Callithrix jacchus: one gene and its partner. The protein of the gene in region 1 purifies or fractionates together with the protein of each later gene. This does not show direct contact. Links are inferred from orthologs where the notes say so. Each region holds a gene or a part of one and is shown on either strand. Other genes may lie near its edges.

What was found.
Region 2: the proteins of MTMR2 (region 1) and MTMR12 purify together in Homo sapiens (affinity purification with mass spectrometry; 5 studies listed by BioGRID and IntAct, with this or other methods). This does not show direct contact. The link is inferred for Callithrix jacchus from reciprocal best matches to the Homo sapiens genes MTMR2 and MTMR12.

What each region holds. Positions count from the first base shown.
Region 1 is NC_133511.1:44,298,992-44,309,535, forward strand, and holds the start of MTMR2 (phosphatidylinositol-3,5-bisphosphate 3-phosphatase MTMR2), read left to right. Parts: upstream 1-4,556; 5' UTR 4,557-4,709; coding exon 4,710-4,789; exon of another isoform or gene 4,790-4,968; intron 4,969-10,544. UniProt on the Homo sapiens protein: Lipid phosphatase that specifically dephosphorylates the D-3 position of phosphatidylinositol 3-phosphate and phosphatidylinositol 3,5-bisphosphate, generating phosphatidylinositol and phosphatidylinositol 5-phosphate.
Region 2 is NC_133503.1:173,028,874-173,038,946, forward strand, and holds part of MTMR12 (myotubularin-related protein 12), read left to right. Parts: intron 1-1,398; coding exon 1,399-1,505; intron 1,506-2,136; coding exon 2,137-2,261; intron 2,262-5,199; coding exon 5,200-5,278; intron 5,279-7,604; coding exon 7,605-7,675; intron 7,676-10,073. UniProt on the Homo sapiens protein: Acts as an adapter for the myotubularin-related phosphatases. Regulates phosphatase MTM1 protein stability and possibly its intracellular location. By stabilizing MTM1 protein levels, required for skeletal muscle maintenance but not for myogenesis.

The DNA of each region.
Region 1 (10,544 bases):
GTTTTTTTTCAGAAATCTCCAGACTATTTTCCATACTGGCTGTACTAATCTACATTCCTACCAACAGAGTATAAGAATTCCCTTTTCTTCACATTCTCACCAGCATCTGTTTTTTATCTTTTTGATAACAGTCATTCTGGCTGGGATAAGATGGTATCTCACTGTGGTTTTGACTTATATTGTCCTGATGATTAGTGAAATTGAGCATTTTTTCATATACCTTTTGGCTATTCTTGTGTCTTCCTTTGAGAAATGTCTGTTTATGTCCTTTGCTTTTTTTTGAGACGGAGTCTTACTCTGTCTCCCAGGCTGAAGTATACCAGCAGTGGTATACTCCAGGCGCACTGCGACCTCCGCCTCCCAGGTTCAAGGATTATCCTGCCTCAGCCTCCTGAAGCTGGGATTACAGGCACCTGTCACCATGCCCAGCTAATTTGTTTATTTGTTTATATTTTTGGTAGAGGTGGGATTTTGCCATGTTGGCCAGGCTGGTCTCAAACTCCTGGTCTTAGGTAATCCACCCACCACTGCTTCCCAAAGTGCTGGGATTACAGCCAAGAGCCCCTTTGCCTTTGTTTTTTTTTTTTTTTTTTTGACAGAGTCTTACTTGTTGCCCAGGCTAGAGTGCAGTGGTGCAATCTTGGGTCACTGCAACCTCTGCCTCCTGGGTGCAAGACATTCTCCTGCCTCAGTCTCCCAAGTAGCTGGGATTATAGTCACGTGCCACCACGCCCACCTAAGTTTTTTATTTTTTAGTTGAGATAGGGTTTCACCATTTTGGCCAGGCTGGTCTGAAACTCCTGACCTCAAGTGATATGCCCACCTCAGCCTCCCAAAGTGCTAGTATTACAGGCATGAGCCACTGTGCCCGGCCTGCCTATTTTTTTAATGGGATTATTTGTTTTTATACTGTTCAGATTTTTTAGTTCATTATATATTCTAAATATTAATCTTTTGTCAGATAGTTTGCAGATATTCCCTGCCATTCAACAAGTTGTCTCTTCACTTTGTTGATTGTTTCCCTTACTCTGAAGAAGCTTTTTACTTTAATGTAATCCCATTTGTCTATTAGTGCTTTTGCTACCTGTGCTTTTCATGTTTTAGCTGTAAAGCATTGCCTATGTCCTGAAGTATTTCCCTAATATTTTATTGTAGTTATTTTATAGCTTTAGGTGTTACATTTTAGTCTTTAATCCATCTTAAGTTGATTTGTGTATGTGGTAAGATACAGGGGTCCAATTTTATTCTTCTGAATATGAATATCCAAAATTCCTAGCACAATTTATTAAAGAGATTATTCTTCCCACAGTTTAAGGATAATCTTGATGTCTCTCCAAAATCAGTTGGCTGTAAATGCATGTATTTATTTCTGGATGCTCTCTAATGTTCCTTTGGTATGTGTGTTTGTTTTTATACCAATACCCTGCTGTAGGTATAGCCTTATATTTATTTATATTTTGAAGTGAGATAGTCTGATGCCTCCAATTCTGTTCTTCTTGCTCAGGATTGCTTTTGCAATTCAGACTGTTTTTTAGTTTGATGTGAATTTTAGAATTTTTCTTTTTTTGTGAAAAAGGACACTGATATTTTGATAGACATTGCATTGAATTTGTAGATTGCTTTGTGTAGTATGGTCATTTTAATGTTAATTGTTCTGTTCCATGACCATGGAATGTCTTTCCATTTGTTTGCATCTTCTTCAATTTCCTTCATCCGAGTTTTATAGTTTTCTTTGAGGAGGTCTTTCATTTCCTTGGTTAAACTTATTCCTGTTTTTTGTTTTTTTTGTAGTATTTGTAAATGGGATTGCTTTCTTGATTTTTTTTTTTTTTTGGCCATTTCATTATTGATGTATAGAAGTGCAACTAAGTTTGGATGTTGATTTTGTATTCTGCAAGTTTATTATCAGCTCTCAACAGTTTTTTGGTGTAGTATCCACACATGAACTGTTGTCTGTCTATGATGAGATAAAGGCAATATGAGAATAAATATTTAGGAAGTTTTATGAAACGTTCATGGAGTAGTGTCTGTTAAATCTAATAAACAATTTGGCCTTGTATTTTGCATACCTTTTTCTTAAATTTAATTTTCCTAGTACAGTTACTTCTTAGTATCTTCAGGTTATTGGTTTCAGGACCCCCAACAATAATAGCAAAATCTAAGGATGCTCAAGTCCCTTATATAAAATGGCACAGTATCCACAAATAACCTATGTATATCCACCTATATACTTTAAATTGACTCTAGATTACTTATAACATTGAACACAATGTAAATGTTATATTGTTACACTGTATTGTTTTCTATTTGTATTATTTTTATTGTTAATTTTTACAATTAAAAAAAAATTTTCACTCTGTGGTTGGTTGAATCTCAGGACATGGAAGCCATGGCTATAAAGGGCCGACTGTGATTAATTTTTCTTATCTTTTAAAAAGGTATTGGTTGGTGATGGTTTAGAAATTAAAAACAAAACACTGTTCCTTCCTGCAGATAGTGTAAGAAAAAGCCCAGACTACAAATTGAAAATTAATAACTTTTGGTAAGGTTTCGAGTTAACCATTTTTTTCATTTTTCTTTTCACTTACAGTTCATTAATTAATTAGAGTTCACTAATTAATTTTCAGCTGATATTCTTTGCTTGTGTTTTCATTCTGAGAAGTTACCATTTTGCCAGCCAGGTTAGAAGTAAAGCAGTAAGTTCAGTGGAAAAACGAGTAATAATAGATCTAATTACTGAGACCATACTGTACAACTGACTGTATACAGGAAAACAATCTATTATATGGGTATTTTTATTCGTATTTTAGAGACAAGAAACAACTTAACCACAAGCATACAGCAAATGTAGTGACAGAACCAGGATTCTAACACAGGTTGTCTGGTTCCAATGTCTCTACATTTTTAAGTACACTGTTCTTTATTAATCACTAGGTAGAACCATACACACATTGTTACATCAGGCAGAAGGTTCTGAGGGTCCTGCAGGGCATGGTGGCTCAAGCCTGTAATCCCAGCACTTTGGGAGGCTGAGGCGGGTGGATCACGAGGTCAAGAGATCGAGACCATCCTGGTCAACATGGTGAAACCCATCTCTACTAAAAATACAAAAAATTAGCTGGGCACGGTGCGCATGCCTGTAATCCCAGCTACTTGGGAGGCTGAGGCAAGAGAATTGCCTGAACCCAGGAGGCGGAGGTTGCGGTGAGCCGAGATTGCGCCATTGCACCCAGCCTGGGTAACAAGAGCAAAACTCCGTCTCAAAAAAAAAAAAAAAAAAAAAAAAAAAAAGAAGGTTCTGAGGGTTCTATTAACACAATGCTAGGAATGAACTGGGTAGAACAAAGTACAGGGGTCTCCCATTCAAGGGTTCATCAGTCTTCACCATACTTAAGAAATCTAAGTAGCTGACAGTGAGTCAGCATTTTGGAAGGCAGGTAGAGATGGTGAAGAAATAAGGAAATTCTTCTACGAGTCATTACAGATATTTAAGTTTGTTAAAAAATGTTTCTATCGACTCCCTTTGCCTACAGAGTACAGTTAACGTCTCTTAAAAATTATGGAAATAAAAACAATCAGTGGCTGTCAGTCCTTGCCAAACTGAAAAAAGGAACAGAACGGCTAAGCCTTTTGTGCTTCAACACATACTCATTCATCAGTAACTACTCTGGCTTACACTGAGCATAACTAAGCTAGGTTGTTCTTCTGGGGAATGTACTTGCAAGTTAACACTGCACTGCAACTATAAGGTTTCTTAAAAGACATCAGTCGTACAATGTAAATTAAATCTAATTTAAATTAATATAATTTTATTTTTCCTAGCAAGGAAATTTTTTCTCTTAAGGATCATCTGATTTTTTTAAAAAAGGAATAATCTTTGCATAATTTTACACCCCATACATGAGATGATTGGGATTCAATCTCAATCAGAAAAACTCCTTTATGGTGTTCTTATGGCCTTCCTGAGTCCTCTGTAACACAAAAATCCTAGCAGAAGCATTTCCCCTTTACCCAGTTCCTTTTCTCTTATCACGGTTCTATTCCTCCACACTCCCTTACTGCTAGGCAGGGAAATTTGAAAGGGCAGGGAAAAATCGGTAAAAGTTTGCCTTCTACTTGGGTGGAATATCCAATGTCAATGCAGCCTGTAGTATATGTGTATAATTCTTTTTTAATGTTTATCAGTTTCCTCCCCATTCCCTCTTCCATCCCTCTTTCCCTCACTTTTCTCTCATTATCCCGTCCTTATGTTTTCCTTGATCTCCACATTCCTGTCTCAATCATTCTCTGGGCCTCGGGTCTTTTATCTCTTTCCTGAGACCCTCAGGCCTAATGTTCCGTCATTCCTCTTATACCTAGGATTTCTCCACCTTCCCCAAGGGTCTGGTCCCCCATTCCTCCCGCTTCGCCAGACCCTCTCACTCTGGAAGCCCCCACCTCCCTTTCCCCAAGCACAGAGGTCGCGCGGCCGGACACTGCGAGTACTGCGCGTCGGGGAAGGCGTCGGAGCAACGCAGTGGGGGTCTTCCCGCTCCCCCGCAGGCTCCAGGCGCGGTGCACTCTGGGGGAACATGGCCGCTTCCGGTCTCCCTCCCTGGCCGGCGCTGGCTTAACTGCGGCCCCTGCCCGAAGCACTCCGCCCTCTGCTTCTCACGCCCTGCAGCCTCGAAGACCGCTTCAGCCTTCTCCTCTGCTGCCCCTGCCGCGCCATGGAGAAGAGCTCCAGCTGCGAGAGTCTTGGCTCCCAGCCGGCGGCGGCTCGGCCGCCCAGCGTGGACTCCTTGTCCAGGTAACCAGGGCGCCCAGGGCCCCGCCCAGCGGCCGAAGGGGATGGAGAGGGGCCGGGGACCCGCTGGACATTGCCCCAACTCGCGGATTGTGGTTTCTGAAGGCTGCGCCGGAATTCCTTCCCCGGGACTTGGGAATCACTTCTGCCTCCCTCTCTGGGGCGTGGAGGCTGAGGAAAAGGTGGTTAAACTCGCTGCTTGTCTCTAGATTCCTCTACCTTTCATATTCCGATCTCGTATTCTCCCCGATGAAGGTGGCCTCAGTTAATTACTTTCTCCTGTCTGTCGTTCCCTCTCGGTCTTTTTTTTAGACAGCCCCCCCCATTCTTTCCCCCTCATTTCCTGTCTTTCTGTATCACTTTTTCCAAAACCATCCTTCAGTCAATGTCTCTTCTTCCACCCTTTCTTATGTCTTTGGTTTTTGGGTTCTTGCCCAACCCTTTTCTCTCTTTCATGGCTTCACTTTCTTAATTTCTTTCACGCTTATGTCTACACTCTGATTTTCTTCTCGCCTCTCCTTTTGCTTAAATATGTAAATAAAAGTGTCTCCTGTGCTTCTCTTTTCTAAATCTTCCAGCTGAAAGTCAGTATCAAGGAATCTGAGTAGTTTTCATCCCCAGTGATAGGTTTAAGAAAAGAAAATAAGTGGTAGTTTTCTTCCTTCTTGGGCTACTGGTTCTCCAGGTTGTCATTTCTCTTGTAACAGATGGGAATTTTATCCTGAAATTTTGAGGACTTTATGCAGCTTTGCAGAGAGCTTTCATGAATATTAACTAGATGTGTTTTGGATATGCAGTCTTTTTCTTTGATTTTAAAATAATGATTTAAAATTTTACTAAGCAATCATATAAGACCTGTGTTTTGCTTTTTATGCAGCCACGATGCAATCTGGTTCTTTTCCACTGAAAAAAAGTCTAATTGTTATTAGAGAGTTATTTGATAACTGCTGTGTGAAAACACAATTTTCATTTTCTCCTCGAATCAATTGAAGTGGCTCCACTATAATTCATTTTGGATTCTGCTAAATATGGGTAGCAGAATTCCTATTGTTGTTCAGTACCTCATTGGGGAACCTCCGTCTGATCCCATCATTCTAAATCTCTATCTGCATTTATAGGTTCTTGCCCAGTCCTTTTTCAGTCCTTAACAAGCACCCTATAATTGTTAGCTTAAAGTTTTTTTCCTCCCAGGCTGTAAGGTATTATATTTGAGAACAAGGGCCATATCTTAATCATCTTCATATCTCCAGCACTTAACATAGTCTCAGCATGTGATAGATGTAAACTGAATTATCCAGGAAAGGAGGATTTTCCTTTGCAGTTTGGTTATATGTATTGCACGTGTGAATCAAGTATTTTTTGAATTCTGTATTTATTGCTTTGAAATTTAGAAAGCTGAGGGTTAACATGTTCAGTTGTAAAATAATTCATTCAGAAAACAGGTTGGAAAATTCAAATTTTATGGGAAAGTTACAAATGACAGCTATGCCTCAGAGTAGAACAAGAGGCAACCAGTACGCTATCCAAGGCAGAGGAGTTAGAACCACAAGAGGCAGCCTACTGTTAGGAGGTACTGGAAGTTAGGAAGTTCCCATGCTGAAGTCTCTTGCTGAGCTAGCTCTTTGGCCTTTATCATTTAACCTTTTTAGTCTACAGTTTTCTCATCTTTTAAATCAAGAGGCTTGATCTACAAAATCTGTAAGGTCCCTTTGAACTCTAAAATTGTCATTTTTTAATTGTAATGACAATACTTATTAAGATAAACTCATTCTTATTAATTTTAAAGATAATTCCTTTGCAAATAACTTTGGGTTTGGATTTTTGCAAATACACTAAATAAGTGTCTTTTATTATTACAAACGAATAGACCTAAAGGTGCCACTTTTGCATACTTACTTCCTAAAAAAGAAAGCCCAGCAAGTTTAAAGTTTATATATGTATATTCTTCATAAAAAAATTGTTACGTGAATTTGAGAAAATTAAGTATTCCTCGAAAGAATTGTGATTATAGTAGATTAGCCTCAGCCTCTATGGACAAAAAATATAAGTGTGACTCCTATTTTCCATAACATAGAGAATGCCAGCTTTCATTACTCTCCTCTGGAAGGTAGAAAATAACATTTACTTAATGTCAACTGTATGGAAGTTTCCCTGCTAAATTCTATATATCTCTTATTTCATTAATCATCATACCTGTTTGTGGCACTTTCTTTAATCAATAGTATGTAATAGATACATTATAGACACTAGTTAGAAAGCTTAATTTTAAACTGAATTTAGAAAGCTTAATTTTAAACTTAATCTAACACTTCATCGCAGGTGATTCTAATGCATTGCCAGTGTGGACTACCATGGTCTCATAGCTATGTTAAGTGTCTGTCTAGATTAAGTTATTTCTTTTGTTTCATTAGCCTTCGACAAAGCAAAACTATTGCTGTTTGGCCTATAGTGTCTTAGTCTTTGCAGAAATGATGCCCTTAAATTGTAGTTTATTTTTATGCTTGCTGTTTTTATACAGAGGCCTAATTGAGAAACTGCCTTGTGAATTTGTTTTGATGTCTCTGGCAAAATAATAGTTAATTATATTGCTAAATGTGTCACAATGTCTTTCACACATGGATTGACATAAATTTCTGCTGAGTTTAGCTACAAGGAAAATTATTTATGGAAATAATTATGTATGCTCCTTGTTTGTTAGTAAATGGTAACTACGTAACTGCATCTTTCTCTGTAGCTTAGTAAAACATTTTAGTCAAATTTATATCTGAAGGTGATAGTATCTCTAATTTCTTTAAATACTTTTATTATTACATGAACTCAAGTTAAATATTATGTGTTATGTTTAAATGTATTGATTAGATGTCTTAAGCCTTTCTAGGAAGTCGGAAGAATAATGCAGTAATCCATGTGGTTGCCCATTGCTTTTTGAAAATGGCATACTTGGTGGGGCACCGTGGCTCATGCCTGTAATCCCAGCACTTTGGGAGGCCAAAGTGGGAGGATCATTTGAGTCCAGGAGTTTGAGACCAGCCTGGGCAAATTAGTGAGACCCCCATCTCTAAAAAAGAAAAAGTTTTTTAAATAAAAGTATTTTAAAAAATGAAGGCCTGGCACAGTGGCTCATGCCTATAATCCCAGCACTTTGGGAGGCCGAGGCGGGTGGATCACGAGGTCAAGAGATCGAGATCACCCTGGTCAACATGGTGAAACCCCGTCTCTACTAAAAATACAAAAATTAGCTGGGCGTGGTGGCGAGCGCCTATAGTCCCAGCTGCTCTGGAGGCTGAGGCAGGAGAATTGCTTGAACCCAGGAGGTGGAGGCGGAGGTTGCGGTGAGCCGAGATCTCACCATTGCACTCCAGCCTGGGTAACGAGTGAAACTCTGTCTCAAAAAAAAAAAAAAAAAGAAAGAAAGAAAATGACATACTCCATTGAAGTTGGATGAAAGGCCCATTGTGCAATCTGTAGTTCACACTAAACATATGAGTCTTATTAAGTATCTCTAGTCATTTCAGAGTTGCTCTTGTTTCCAGTTATGCCTTCTAGGTCATCATAGGCCTAATGCCTTTGCCCACAAAAGAGAAATTTCATTCCTCATATGATATACAGAGAGCAACTTCCTAATCAGCTGTAGTTATGTCATCCCGCATCTTTACAAAAACAGAAAAGTAATTATCAACTGGGCATGACATGCGCCTGTAACCCTAGCTACTCGGGAGGCTGAGGTACAAGAATCGCTTGAACCTGGGAGGCAGAAGTTGTAGTGAGCTGAGATCATGCTACTGCACTCCAACCTGGGCAACAGAGTGAGGCTCTGTCTCAAAAATAGAGAAAAACAATTGTCTTTGGTGAGTCCTGCTTAATATTGCCATACTTTAGTAAAGTGTTCAGCAACTCTTGTATATCTTGCTGTTGGCCATTCTTCATGCATGTCTATCCCCACAGAAAGAGGGCGTTATGGAAAAATTCACTTCAGCTTCCTGATAATCTACCTATATTGTGTAATTTTATTCTTGTTGGGTGTGCTCTGATTCTTGATATAAGTGTGACTTTATAGAATATAGATAAAATAATACTGTAGGTCAGATGTGGTAAGAGTAGGCCTGAGCCTCAGAACTGTAATGAGTTACACAGCAGACTTTGACATTATATTGGTAATAATTTGCCATCTTAGTCTGGTTTTCCATTTTTCAGTTTATACACTATTATAAAGTGCACTGCTTTAGTAAGCTTCTTTGATTACTTTGTATTGTGCATAATCAAATGGTAAGATATCTAGTGCCAAATAGGTGCCCAGTGAACAACTAAATAAAAGAATGTTGACAGAATGTTCACCACTGGTTTTATTTGTTGTTCCCATTCAAAGGATTAAAAAGGATTTCTTCTGTTGAATTTGGCCTGAACACTTGGAATTTCAGGTCTAAGCTAAAGTTATTTTTCTGGGAGACTCTGGACATCTTGAGCTGATTTTACTGGCTGCATTATCTGTTCTGTGTCCAGTCCTATACATATTGAGGTTATTACATCCTCTGCAACTACCTATTTATTCATCTGCTACTCTTGATTACTTTAGACCCTTTTGCTCTAACTTAGGTTGTTAGTTGTTTTATTTAATGTGTATTCTTGTTATCCTTTATGTATCCTCAGGCTTTAGTAATTCCGGGTACCATACTTGTTTATCCCAGATTATTCTGGTTTTATCAGTTTCTAGTATATAATTTCATTAGCATTGATGAACATCTTATAGTTACATTTAAATTCCATTAAAAAATCAAAGGGAAGGTACACATACTCAAAGGAGTTCTCAATGAATTGCATTTCTAAATTGCATGCCTGCCTTAAAATTATCATCATTTGAAAACAGCAATTCCTGGATTTCTGTTTCTATGGATTTTGAGTATACTTACAGCCTGAAGAAGTAGAAGAGTTTTGTAGATTTCTAAAATGCATTTTGTTGCAAGGTCTTATCTTGAGTTTTAGCTTCAAGGTCACTTAAGAGTGACTTGTTGGAGACCAGGTGAATTGGCTAATGCCTGTAATTCTAGCACTTTGGGAGGCCGAGGCTGGAGGATCGCTTGAGCCCAGGAGTTCCAGACCAGCCTGGGTCACATGACAGAACACTCTCTACAAAAAATAAAAAGTTAGCTGGGCATGGTAGTGCATGCCTGTAGTCCCATAGTCCCAGCTACTTGGGAGGCTGGTGTGAGAGGATCACCTGAACCTGGGGATGTTGAGGCTGCAATGGGTCATGATGGTGCCACTGTACTCTGGCCTGGGCAAGACAGTGAGACCCTGTCTCAAAAAGATAAAAAGTGATATGTTGGTAGGAAAGATGCTTTTATGTTGTTTTTCTAGTAGTGGTGATGGATTTGTGTACAATCACACATTTTTACCCATTTCCTTTGTCATTCTTGGCATGTCTTCTCAGACAGCTGGCAAGATTAGAGGTAGAAATTATAGCTGTAGAACAGAGTAAAGCTACCAGGTTGAACCTATAATCTTGGCATTATTAGTAGCACCTTGCATCAAACATTGACCATGTTAGACTAAAAATGACTTACTTTGGATTCCATTCTTTAAAAACCATCAAAGATCTAAGTTCTTTTAGATAAGAACCAATATTGCTCTGTAATAATTAGCAATTGTCTAGCTTTTCAGAAAGGATGTGTTTTAAAAATGCAAGTTGATACTGAACTTGAGATGGGGTCCTGTATATATTTTTCCTTATGCTATTATCAATAGTTTTCTATTAGTGTAG
Region 2 (10,073 bases), on another chromosome or scaffold:
AGGCCAATGGCTTAATGGCTTGGCCAGCACAGCAAGGGCTGGACCTTAGCCACTCTCAAGCACTTAGCCAGGCCTTTATGCAGGGCTCAAAGTTCACAGCTGTACTCACTGTCCAACTAGTCTGTCTCTCTCCTCCATTCTAGGCTCCACTGGCAGGTTACTTGGCCCCAAGGTCAGTTCTAATCTCCCTTTCTTCCTGAAAAACAAATAAACAACTCCCCCTACCCCGCCCCCACTGTATCCCAAAAAAAGCCTGAACTCCTTAACCTGTTGCCAAGGCAGTAAAAAGCCTACACAGCCTGGCCTGCCGCTTATGTCACTCATGTGACTTCTTTCTCCCTCCCCTTTTTTTGTTGTTCCTTGAAATTTCTTTCTTCTGTTCTATAATAACATTCTACCTTCTTTTATATTCCTAAGCTTATTTCCCTTTTGAAACTTGAACCTCTGAAGGTAGACACAGTATCTTAGTATCTTTTTGCCCTCTCATGACCTAACGAGGTGTTGCACGTCACAGTCTTGCATTCAGTTATAGCAAATGGGTGACATGCCATTCTTCCTACTATGGATTTTCTCTCATGAGAATTGCCCGCTTTTTGCCATCCATATACAACACAGCCTTTAGAATCACACTGGTGCTACTTTCTGTACAACTTGGGGAAGTCCTTCAGTCTCTTCAAGCCTTAGTTTCTTGCTGTTAAGGGGGGATAAAGAATCATACCTATCACAGAGAGTTACCATAACAATTAAATGAGTTAATTCCTGACATGTAATACACTGCACTTGAATGATAGCTACTATCCTAATAATAATAATGTTGTTGGCCAGGCACAGTGGCTCATGCCTGTAATCCCAGCACTTTGGGGGGCCATGGTGGGCAGATTGCCTGAGTTCAGGAGTTCACAACCAGCCTGGGCAACACGGTGAAACCCCATCTCTACTAAAATACAAAAAATTAGCTGGGCATGGCAGCATGCACCTGTAGTCGCAGCTACTCAGGAGGCTGAGGCAGGAGACTTGCTTGAACCCAGGAAGCGGAGGTTGCAGTCAGCAGAGATCACACCACTGCACTCCAGCCTGGGCGAAAGAGTAAGACTCTGTCTCGATAAATAAATAAATAAATAAAACTGTTATCATCTGGTTATCAAATGCAGATGATAAGTCAAAAGGTATATGTTAGACTGTAAGTCTGTGTCTAACTACCTAGACCTGTTTATTTTTTAAAACTAAATCATTCTTTTTCATTGTGACTAAATACTCCCAGGCTTAATAAAGTTGAGTATGTCCAGCCATTTCATACTGAAGTTACAAATTTCCATGTATGCATTTAAATGCTAAGCTTGTGTGTCCCCTGTTGGGTTGTGTTTATTATGTCTGGTAAATCTTTATTTCTTTCTGCAGATATGGTGTTGGTCCTGCCACAATGGAAGTGCCCTATTGAAAATGTCAGCACTGCCCAAAGAACAGGATGATGGCATTTTACAAATCCAAAAGGGCTTCTTAGATAGGTTAGTACTAGTAGTTCTATATTTTGTTCTTATTCAGTTTGTGTTTTCCAAGAAGCAAGGAACAGCTCTCATTAGTATGTGTATTTCTGTTTACCTACTAGTAGCTTAGTGCTAGGGAAATACAACTTATAGTGATTGTTTTGAGTTAATTTGAAAGGAGTCAGTATAACATAATAATTAAGAATGTCACCTGCATTGTTTTTAGAGGTGCATGCTAAAGTCTTCAGCGGGGAGGTGACATGTTGTCTGTAAGATTAACAGTTGTCAATTTTAGGTCATGGTACATGTCACTGTACTATTCTACTTTCTGCATGTTTCAAATTTTTTTAAAAGTAGATGAATTTAAAATTAAAAAAAAAAAAAAGGAATAGACTCAGAGTCACATTGCCTTGGTCCAAATCATGGCTCTGTCAGTTTATAAATTGTATAATATTGGGCCAGGCAGTTTTACTGTGCACCTCCATTTCCACACCTGTTGACCGGGAACGGGAGTCCCAGACAGTTGCCTGGTAGGTGAAGTTTAAATTGGAGAATGCCTACCGAGCCCTTAACACAGATCATGGCAAATTGTAAATCCTCAGGCAAAATTTGTGTTTGCTCTTCTAATCTCATATTCCTTTTTGGTACCTAGAATTTACAAGACCATCCACAGGCCACCCTATGAAATTGTTAAAACTGAAGACCTGTCAAGCAACTTCCTATCCCTGCAGGAAATCCAGACTGCATACTCTAAGTTTAAACAGCTGTTTCTGATAGGTGAGAAGAATACTGAGCAAAAACTTTGTGTCAGATGGGGAAAGTCAGGCCATGCAGATCAGGTGAAAGTTGTTGCCTTTTTTCTGAGTTCCTTACCGTGGTATGCAGAGCCCAGGGCTGCAATGTCATGGAGCCAGAGTCTCTGGCTGCCATCACTACACTTCCCTGTCCATCTCTCTCCAGGCTTCCCCCAGCCTCCTTATTGTGGCAGTGATCACACAGCCACCCTTCTCTTCTCCCCTTTCCTCAATATACCAGTTGTCCAGTGGTGAGCATTTTGATTTCTTCCTTTAAAAGTTTTTGAACTATGCAGTATTTATATTTGTTGACTTGCGGTGATTTATAAAGTGAATGATGTTCATTTTCTTCAGTAGACTTTTTCCCCAAAGTGGAAATACTTTGTTTTTCCCATGATTGGGAATATACAGTTTTTAACAATATTAAAAGTTTTATCAGAAATGTACAAGGTAGAAAACGAAACATGCCAGTCCCAGCTACCCCCCTTTTCCTGCCCAGGCTGCCTACTGGTGGTTCATGTTTAACTCTGCCCAGTCACTCATTGATTCTCTTCATTCTGGAATGAGTCTTTATGCTCCGAGACTTGTCATGCCTATAGGTAACTTTTCCTCACTTGGACATTTTTTTTTTTTCTGAGACAGGGTCTCACCTCTGTCATCCAGACTGGAGTGCAGTGGCACGATCACAACCCACTGCAACCTTAAAACTCCCAGGCTCAAGTGATCCTCCCACCTCTGCCTCCCAAGTAGCTGGGATTGCAGGCACACGCCCCCTCACCCGGCTAATTTTTGTATTTTTTTGTAGAGACAGAGTCCCATAATGTTGTCCAGACTGATCTTGAACTCTAAGGCTCAAGTAATCCTCCCACTTTGGCCTTGCAAAGTGCTGGGATTATAGGCGTGAGTCCCTGCCTGGACTAACTTGGACTTTTTAGCCTAGCAAATTCTTAACTATTTTAGGATTTGTTCAGTGACATTTATTGAGTTTCCATTGTACAAGGGGTCTTCAGAAAGTTCATGGAAAATGTATATTATACAAAAATTATGCATGAATTTCAAAACTTTTTTACCCCGAAATAATTCATACTAACTTATAACATGCCTGAGCAGGATCTGGTTTGAAGAGCTAAGAAGGGTAAGATATTAGTTTGAAAATAGCTCCTATCAGAGCAATGCAAATTCTGCTAAAATTGAAGCAAAAACAAATATTGAATTTATGGTGAAGCTTGGATGGAGGAGTGGTAAAATTATTGATGCTTCACAAGAGTTTATGGGGACAATGCCCCAAAGAAATCAGCAGTTTACAAATGGGCAACTCATTTTTAAGAAGGAGATGATGTCAACTATGAAGCCTGCAGTGGCAAACTGTCCACATCGGTTTGCAAGGAAAAAATTAGTCTTTTTTCTGCCTTAATTGAAGAGGACCGACAGCAGAAGAAACAATAGTCAACTCCATAGACATCTCAGATGGTTCAGCTTACACAATTCTGACTGAAGAGTTAAAGTTGAGCAAACCTACTCACCGGGCGCAGTAGCTCATGCCTATAATCCCAGCACTTTGGGAGGCTGAGACAGGCGGATCGCTTGAGTTCAGGAGTTTGAGACCAGCCTGGCCAACATGGTGAAACCTCATCTCTACTAAATATACAAAAATTAGCCAGTCATGGTGGCAGGTGCCTGTAATCACAGCTGCTCCAGGGGGCTGAGGCAGGAGAGTGAATCCGGGAGGCAGGGGTTGCTGTCAGCCAAGATCATGCCATTGCACTTCAGCCTGGGTGACAAGAGTGAAACTCCGTCTCAAAAAATAAATAAAGTGTATGTGCGTGTGTGTATCCTTAAAGGGAACCCTTTTTTTTTTTTCAGTTAATAATGTAAAATAGACTGCAATGACATGGTTAAATTCCCAGGACCCTCAGTTCTTTAGGGGTGAACTAAATGGCTGGTATCATCTCTTATGAGAGTGTCTTAAACTTGATGGAGCTTATGTTGAGAAATAAAGTTTATATTTTTTATTTTCGTCTTTTGATTCCATGTTTTCACATACTTTTAAAGTCCCTTGTATATGCTAACTATGCTGGCATTGGTGATAAAGCGGAATATAACACCAAGAGCTTATACCCTTGCAGGGGAAACAGCAATGTATGACCCTATCTCAAACTAAAACATTACAATATATGTTTACTGTTTAATAAAGGATACTCATTCTAGTTTTATTTCAATCACTCAGGACTTCCAGGGATATCTGCCTTTTCTTGATTTGAGTTTTGCAACTTTTTTTTCATTTTTTAGAAGCAGGGTCTTGCTCTGATAGGGTGTAGTGGCACCATCATAGCTCACTGCAACCTCAAATTCCTGGCCTCCAGTGATCTTCCTGCCTTAGCCTCCCTAAGTGTTGGGGTTATAGGCATGAGCCAAAGCACCCAGCCTGAGTTTGCAACTTTTAAATACATTGGATTTCTGTAAGATTGAAGGTTCTCTGTTTTATGAGGCATGTAGGGGGGAGTCATGTCGTGGTATACTGGGTGTAGGAACTTGTGCATTGAGATTCTAATGAAAATCAAGTCTGACCCTTAGGCTTTCATGGCATCAGGATATAGCAGCCTGGATGTCAACTATTTCTGCCTAAAGCATGTTACTCTCTGTCAACTTACAGAATGAACCATGGCTTTGTGTATGCATTGTAGGAATTTCTTATTTTAGCAGTAAAGATCTCTTTTTGATTACTGCAACCTTCTAGAGACCTACAGCTCAAAAACCATTTCAGCTAAAGTTTTGAAATGGCCCTAAAGTCCTGTGCCTGGATTCTGCAGTTTGAGTCTGGACTGTTAATCTGAATGACACAGTTGAGTAGCAGAGAATTTCTGTGGCAAGTATTTCAGTGAACAATGACCTAATGTCTTTACTCCTTTTTCTTTTTTCAGATAACAGTACTGAATTTTGGGACACAGATATAAAATGGTTTTCTCTGTTAGAAAGTAGCAGCTGGCTTGACATAATCAGGTATTTCAAACCATTGTTTTACTCATGAATTTTACAGTTGTCTAACTCAGGGTAGTAGATCAAACTGACAAATAATGTAATTGTATGATATTTCACAGTTAAATATTCTTAGATACATGTTCTCTTCAGGGCTCAGCTAGATTTTACATTTGCTACTTATTTCTGTGCACATTTGATAGGAATTTATGAACATGCCACCTGGTTACAAGGAGATGTACTCTGCAGACAAGGCATTGAAATACCACAGAAAGAGTGTGACAACCCAGAATTATCACTGAGGCAGCAGTGCTGGCCTCCAGGGAGGAAACTGGGGGTGAGAACAGGAGTGATACTGACTTTTCACTGAATACCTTTTTGAATTTTGTGTCTTATACATATATTACCTGTGTTTTTAAAAAATGATGATTAGGCCAGGCGCAGTGGCTCACACCTGTAATCCCAGCACTTTGGGTGGCTGAGACAGGCAGATCACCTGAGGTCGGGAGTTCAAGACCAGCCTGACCAACATGGAGAAACCTCATCTCTACTGAAAATACAAAAAATTAGCTGGGCATGGTGGTGCATGCCTGTAATCCCACCTACTCAGGAGGCTGCGGCAGGAGGATCACTTAAACCTGGGAGGTGGAGGTTGCGGTGAGCCAAGATCGCACCACTGCGCTCCAGCCTGGGCAACAAGAGTGAAACTCTGTATCAAAGAAAAAAAAAAAAACCCATGATTAGGCCGGCACGGTGGCTCATGCCTGTAATCCCAGCACTTTGGGAGGCCGAGGTGGGTGGATCATGAGGTCAGGAGATCGAGACCATCCTGGCTAACACGGTGAAACCCCGTCTCTACTAAAAATACAAAAGTGGGTGTGGTGGCACATGCCTGTAATCCCACCTACTCGGGGGGCTGAGGCAGGAGAATCACTTGAACCCAGGAGGCAGAAGTTGCAGTGAGCTGAGATTGCGCCACTGCACTCCAGCCTGGGTGACAGAGCAAGACTCCATCTCAAAACAGAAACAAAAACAAAAGCAAAAAAAACATGATTAAATTTTGGTTTGGGAGTTAGGTTGAGAGTTCCAGACAACAGAGTTATATATTGCCTTTCCTAATTTCTATATTGAGTAGCTCTTCTCTGTTCCCATCAAATAGAGGAGATAACAGAGAAGGGTGCAAAACAGAAAAGATGATCAGGATGAGAGAATAGCTCTCACGCTAGGCTACATTTCAGGAGGAAAAGCAGAGCTTCCTACTGCCTCACACACATTCTTTCTCCATTCTGCAGTGAGTATTGTGGAAAGGAGCCGCTGTCCTCCAGACACTTAACTGCTTCAGATATCCTGCTACACGTCTCATAATTTGAATTTATAGTGGCAGACAGTGATAAATGTTATAAAAGCAAAGAACCCTTCTTTGTGTGGGGTGGGCAGAGAAGGGTGAGCATATCTAGCCAGATGAAGAGTCGGGATGTGGGAAGAGAGGGTGGCTGGGCGGCAGGAGAAGATACCTCTGAGGCAGAGGACACCATATGTGAAGGCTCCCAGTTATACATGAGAGACAAGTCAAAGCTGGGAATAGCGGCAACAATCACAAAGGGAATAACGTGTAGAGAGAGACAAAAAGGATTTCTGAGCATATTGGAGCTTTTTAGCCACAGTGATACATTCAGCAGGTCACCTTAAATAAAGCAATCTGGATATGTCTCCCATTCTCCAGATACGGATTTTTATGAGTCTTGCTCACCAACAGACTCAGGCATGAGTTTTTAATAAGAATGTCTAGTTTAGAAATCACCTAGTGCCAGGTGCATTGGCCACACCTGTAATCCCAGCACTTTGGGAGGCCAAGGCGGGCAGATCATCTGAGGCTGGGAGATCAAGACCATCTTGGCTAACATGGTGAAACTCTGCCTCTACTAAAAATACAAAATATTAGCTGGGCGTGGTGGCACATGCCTGTAATCCCAGCTACTTGGGAGGCTGAGGCAGGAGAATAGCTTGAACCCAGGAAGCGAAGTTGAGCCAAGATCACACCATTGTACTCCAGCCTGGGCAACAAGAGCAAAACTTCATCTCAAAAAAAAAGGAAATCAACTAGGAGCATTTTAACATCAATTTTAGGATTCCCTTCTGAAAATTTTCAATTTCTAATGGGCACGAGTTTATCCCAGTATCTAAGTAATGTAAATGGTAATTAGTTTCTTTTCTGGAGGATTTTAGTGTGGGGGAAAAGAAAGTAAGAGAGAAGACTGAAGATCAAGTCACACTATCTCTAAACTACTTACTGCTTATGTTACCAAGCTCATGAACTGATGCCCCTTTTTCTTGTCTCTTTCCTATTTAGACGTTGCCTGAAGAAAGCAATAGAGATTACAGAATGTATGGAAGCACAAAACATGAACGTTCTTCTTTTAGGTAATGCATATAAAACACAAAGGATGATTTCTACTTTTCTTCACTTGAGATTCAGTTTTTGTACATGTAGCCGTATGTATTTGGAAACAAAAGGAGTGAGATCGTGTAGAAATCCTTCTATTCCTTTTTCCCTAACCCTGGAATCCTTTGTCTTGGATTTCAGTTTTAGAGTTTAAAACAAAATTCTTTCACTTCAAACTTGGAAGACCTATTCCAAGAAGGAATTGTTTGGTATCTTTACCAAAGCTCACATTTCTTAATGTTTTGGATTTTGTTTCGTATTAACTGAGCTTGGTTAAAGTTAAAATCTTTTCATAATCCTTCTTATATAAAGAGCTCCATGGATGACTTAGTTGTTATTTTTATATCTTTGTGTTTAGCCACTTTATACAGTTACCATAGAAACTTGGTGGCCTGTGATTTCCTTTTCCTCAGTGGGCTTAACTTGCCGTACATGATGCAGACATTCAGATCAGGTGAAAACAGGTGTACCACCACGCAACGAAGATTGGTGCCTTAACTAGTTAAATCTAAGCTAAAACCTTACCTGCTGTTTAGAAATATTTTGTTTCATATAGCCCCACACTGTTAATTAAATAGATTGTCTTATGCTTGATACCCCCAAGCTTTTCTCATTCTCTGAAACTAACTGTTGGCCCTACATTCTAAGGGCAGCCTGGAACGTGTATCTTTCTATGGCTTCTGTCCATCTGATACTGGCTGACCAACTTAGATTTGAATACATTTATTGAGCCCCTGCCATGTGCTGGGCTCTGTTCTTCTGCCTTCTAGATGTTTACAACCTAATGAGAGAGTTGCCTTAAGTATGCTATTGAAAAAGATCTAACCAGCAATGACAGAACAGAGCATTATTTGAGTATTGAGCAATTTGTGAAAAGGAGGAGAGATAAATATTGGAGGTCTAAGGGATGGAAGGACTGAGGGCCAGAACGCATTTATCACAGAGTTGTATGTAGTGAAATCTGAATCTTTGACTGATGGAACTGAGACGTCCTTCACTCCTAGATGAACTACTGAATTGTCTCATCTCTGAAATCTCTTTTAGCCCCTATCCCATTACCCTTAGGAGTATCATTAACACCCTTCAGATCCAAGAAGAAAATGTTCCTTAAAAATGAAACCTGTGGCTGCGCACAGTGGCTCATGCCTGTAATCCCAAAACTTTGAGAGGCCAAGTCATGCAGATCACTTGGGGCCAGGAGTTCGAGACCAGCCTAGCCAACATGATGAAACCCCATCTCTACTAAATTAGCCAGGCGTGGTGCTGTGTGCCTATAGTTCTGGCTTCTTGGGAGGCTGAGGCACAAGAATTGCTTTAACCTGGGAGGCAGAGGTTGCAGCAAGTCAAGATTGTGCCACTACACTCCAGCCTGGGTGACTGAGTGGGACTCTGTCTCAAAAAAAAAAAAAAAGACAAACTCATTTTGAAAACTGATGACACTAGGAGACAAAAATAAAAATCTATTTGTCTGTAACCCATGTCATCCCATAGCTGAGGCTTGTTTCCTGGAGGGAGAAGTGTAAGCTTGGACCCAAAGTGCTCTGTGATTATAGAAGTCAAAATGAAAGAGTTAACACAGTATGAGCACCTCCTAGTTACAATTCATTCTTAAGTTTCTCTAATGCCAATGATAACTAGCACCATCCTCCTCATGGGCATTTTTTAAAAAACAGCTTGAGTCATACCTACTTTTGTAAAAGGGAAACTGGGGATTTAGACTCTGACTTTTAGGATCTTAAAACTCTAAGGGATGTGTGGTTCTTTTGCTCTAGCTCGTAAATATTAAACAAGTATGTGAGTGGACTTTTCATCAGATGGGTTTGGAAAGTGCATGAAAAGTGGACATATGGAAGTAGACCATGGAGAATTTGTCTCCTATGCTAGGAAGAGAAGCAGGCACCTCTGTGCTCCTCAAACAGGAAAGGACAGAGCCTTAGAGCTTCCTAGACAGGAGATACAGGTACCTCTGTACTCCTCAAACAGGAAAGGATAGAACCTTAGAGTTTCCTAGTCTAGGCAGAGAAGCAGGCATCTCTATGCTCCTCAAACAGGACAGAGCCTTAGAGCTGAAAATAGAAATAAATTTGCTACAGTCAAGAAACATTCAGCATTCTCCAAAGTAGAGTTAGTGGAGGACTTAGGAGTGGAGGAAGGGAGGTCTGAGGTGAGTTTGAGAAGCAGCATAGCTGTGAAGCAGTGAGTTCAGTGACGGAGGCTTCCACACCTCAGGAAGGAAGGGCTTTAGTCTTGGCCTGCGGAAGCTGGCAGGTCATCATTATGTAAATGATTCTGCTTTCTCTGTAGGTATGGCACACGTAGACCCCCACATGCTGAAAGTAGCTTTGCAGTGCTGTATTTATGTATTCAGTATGCAAA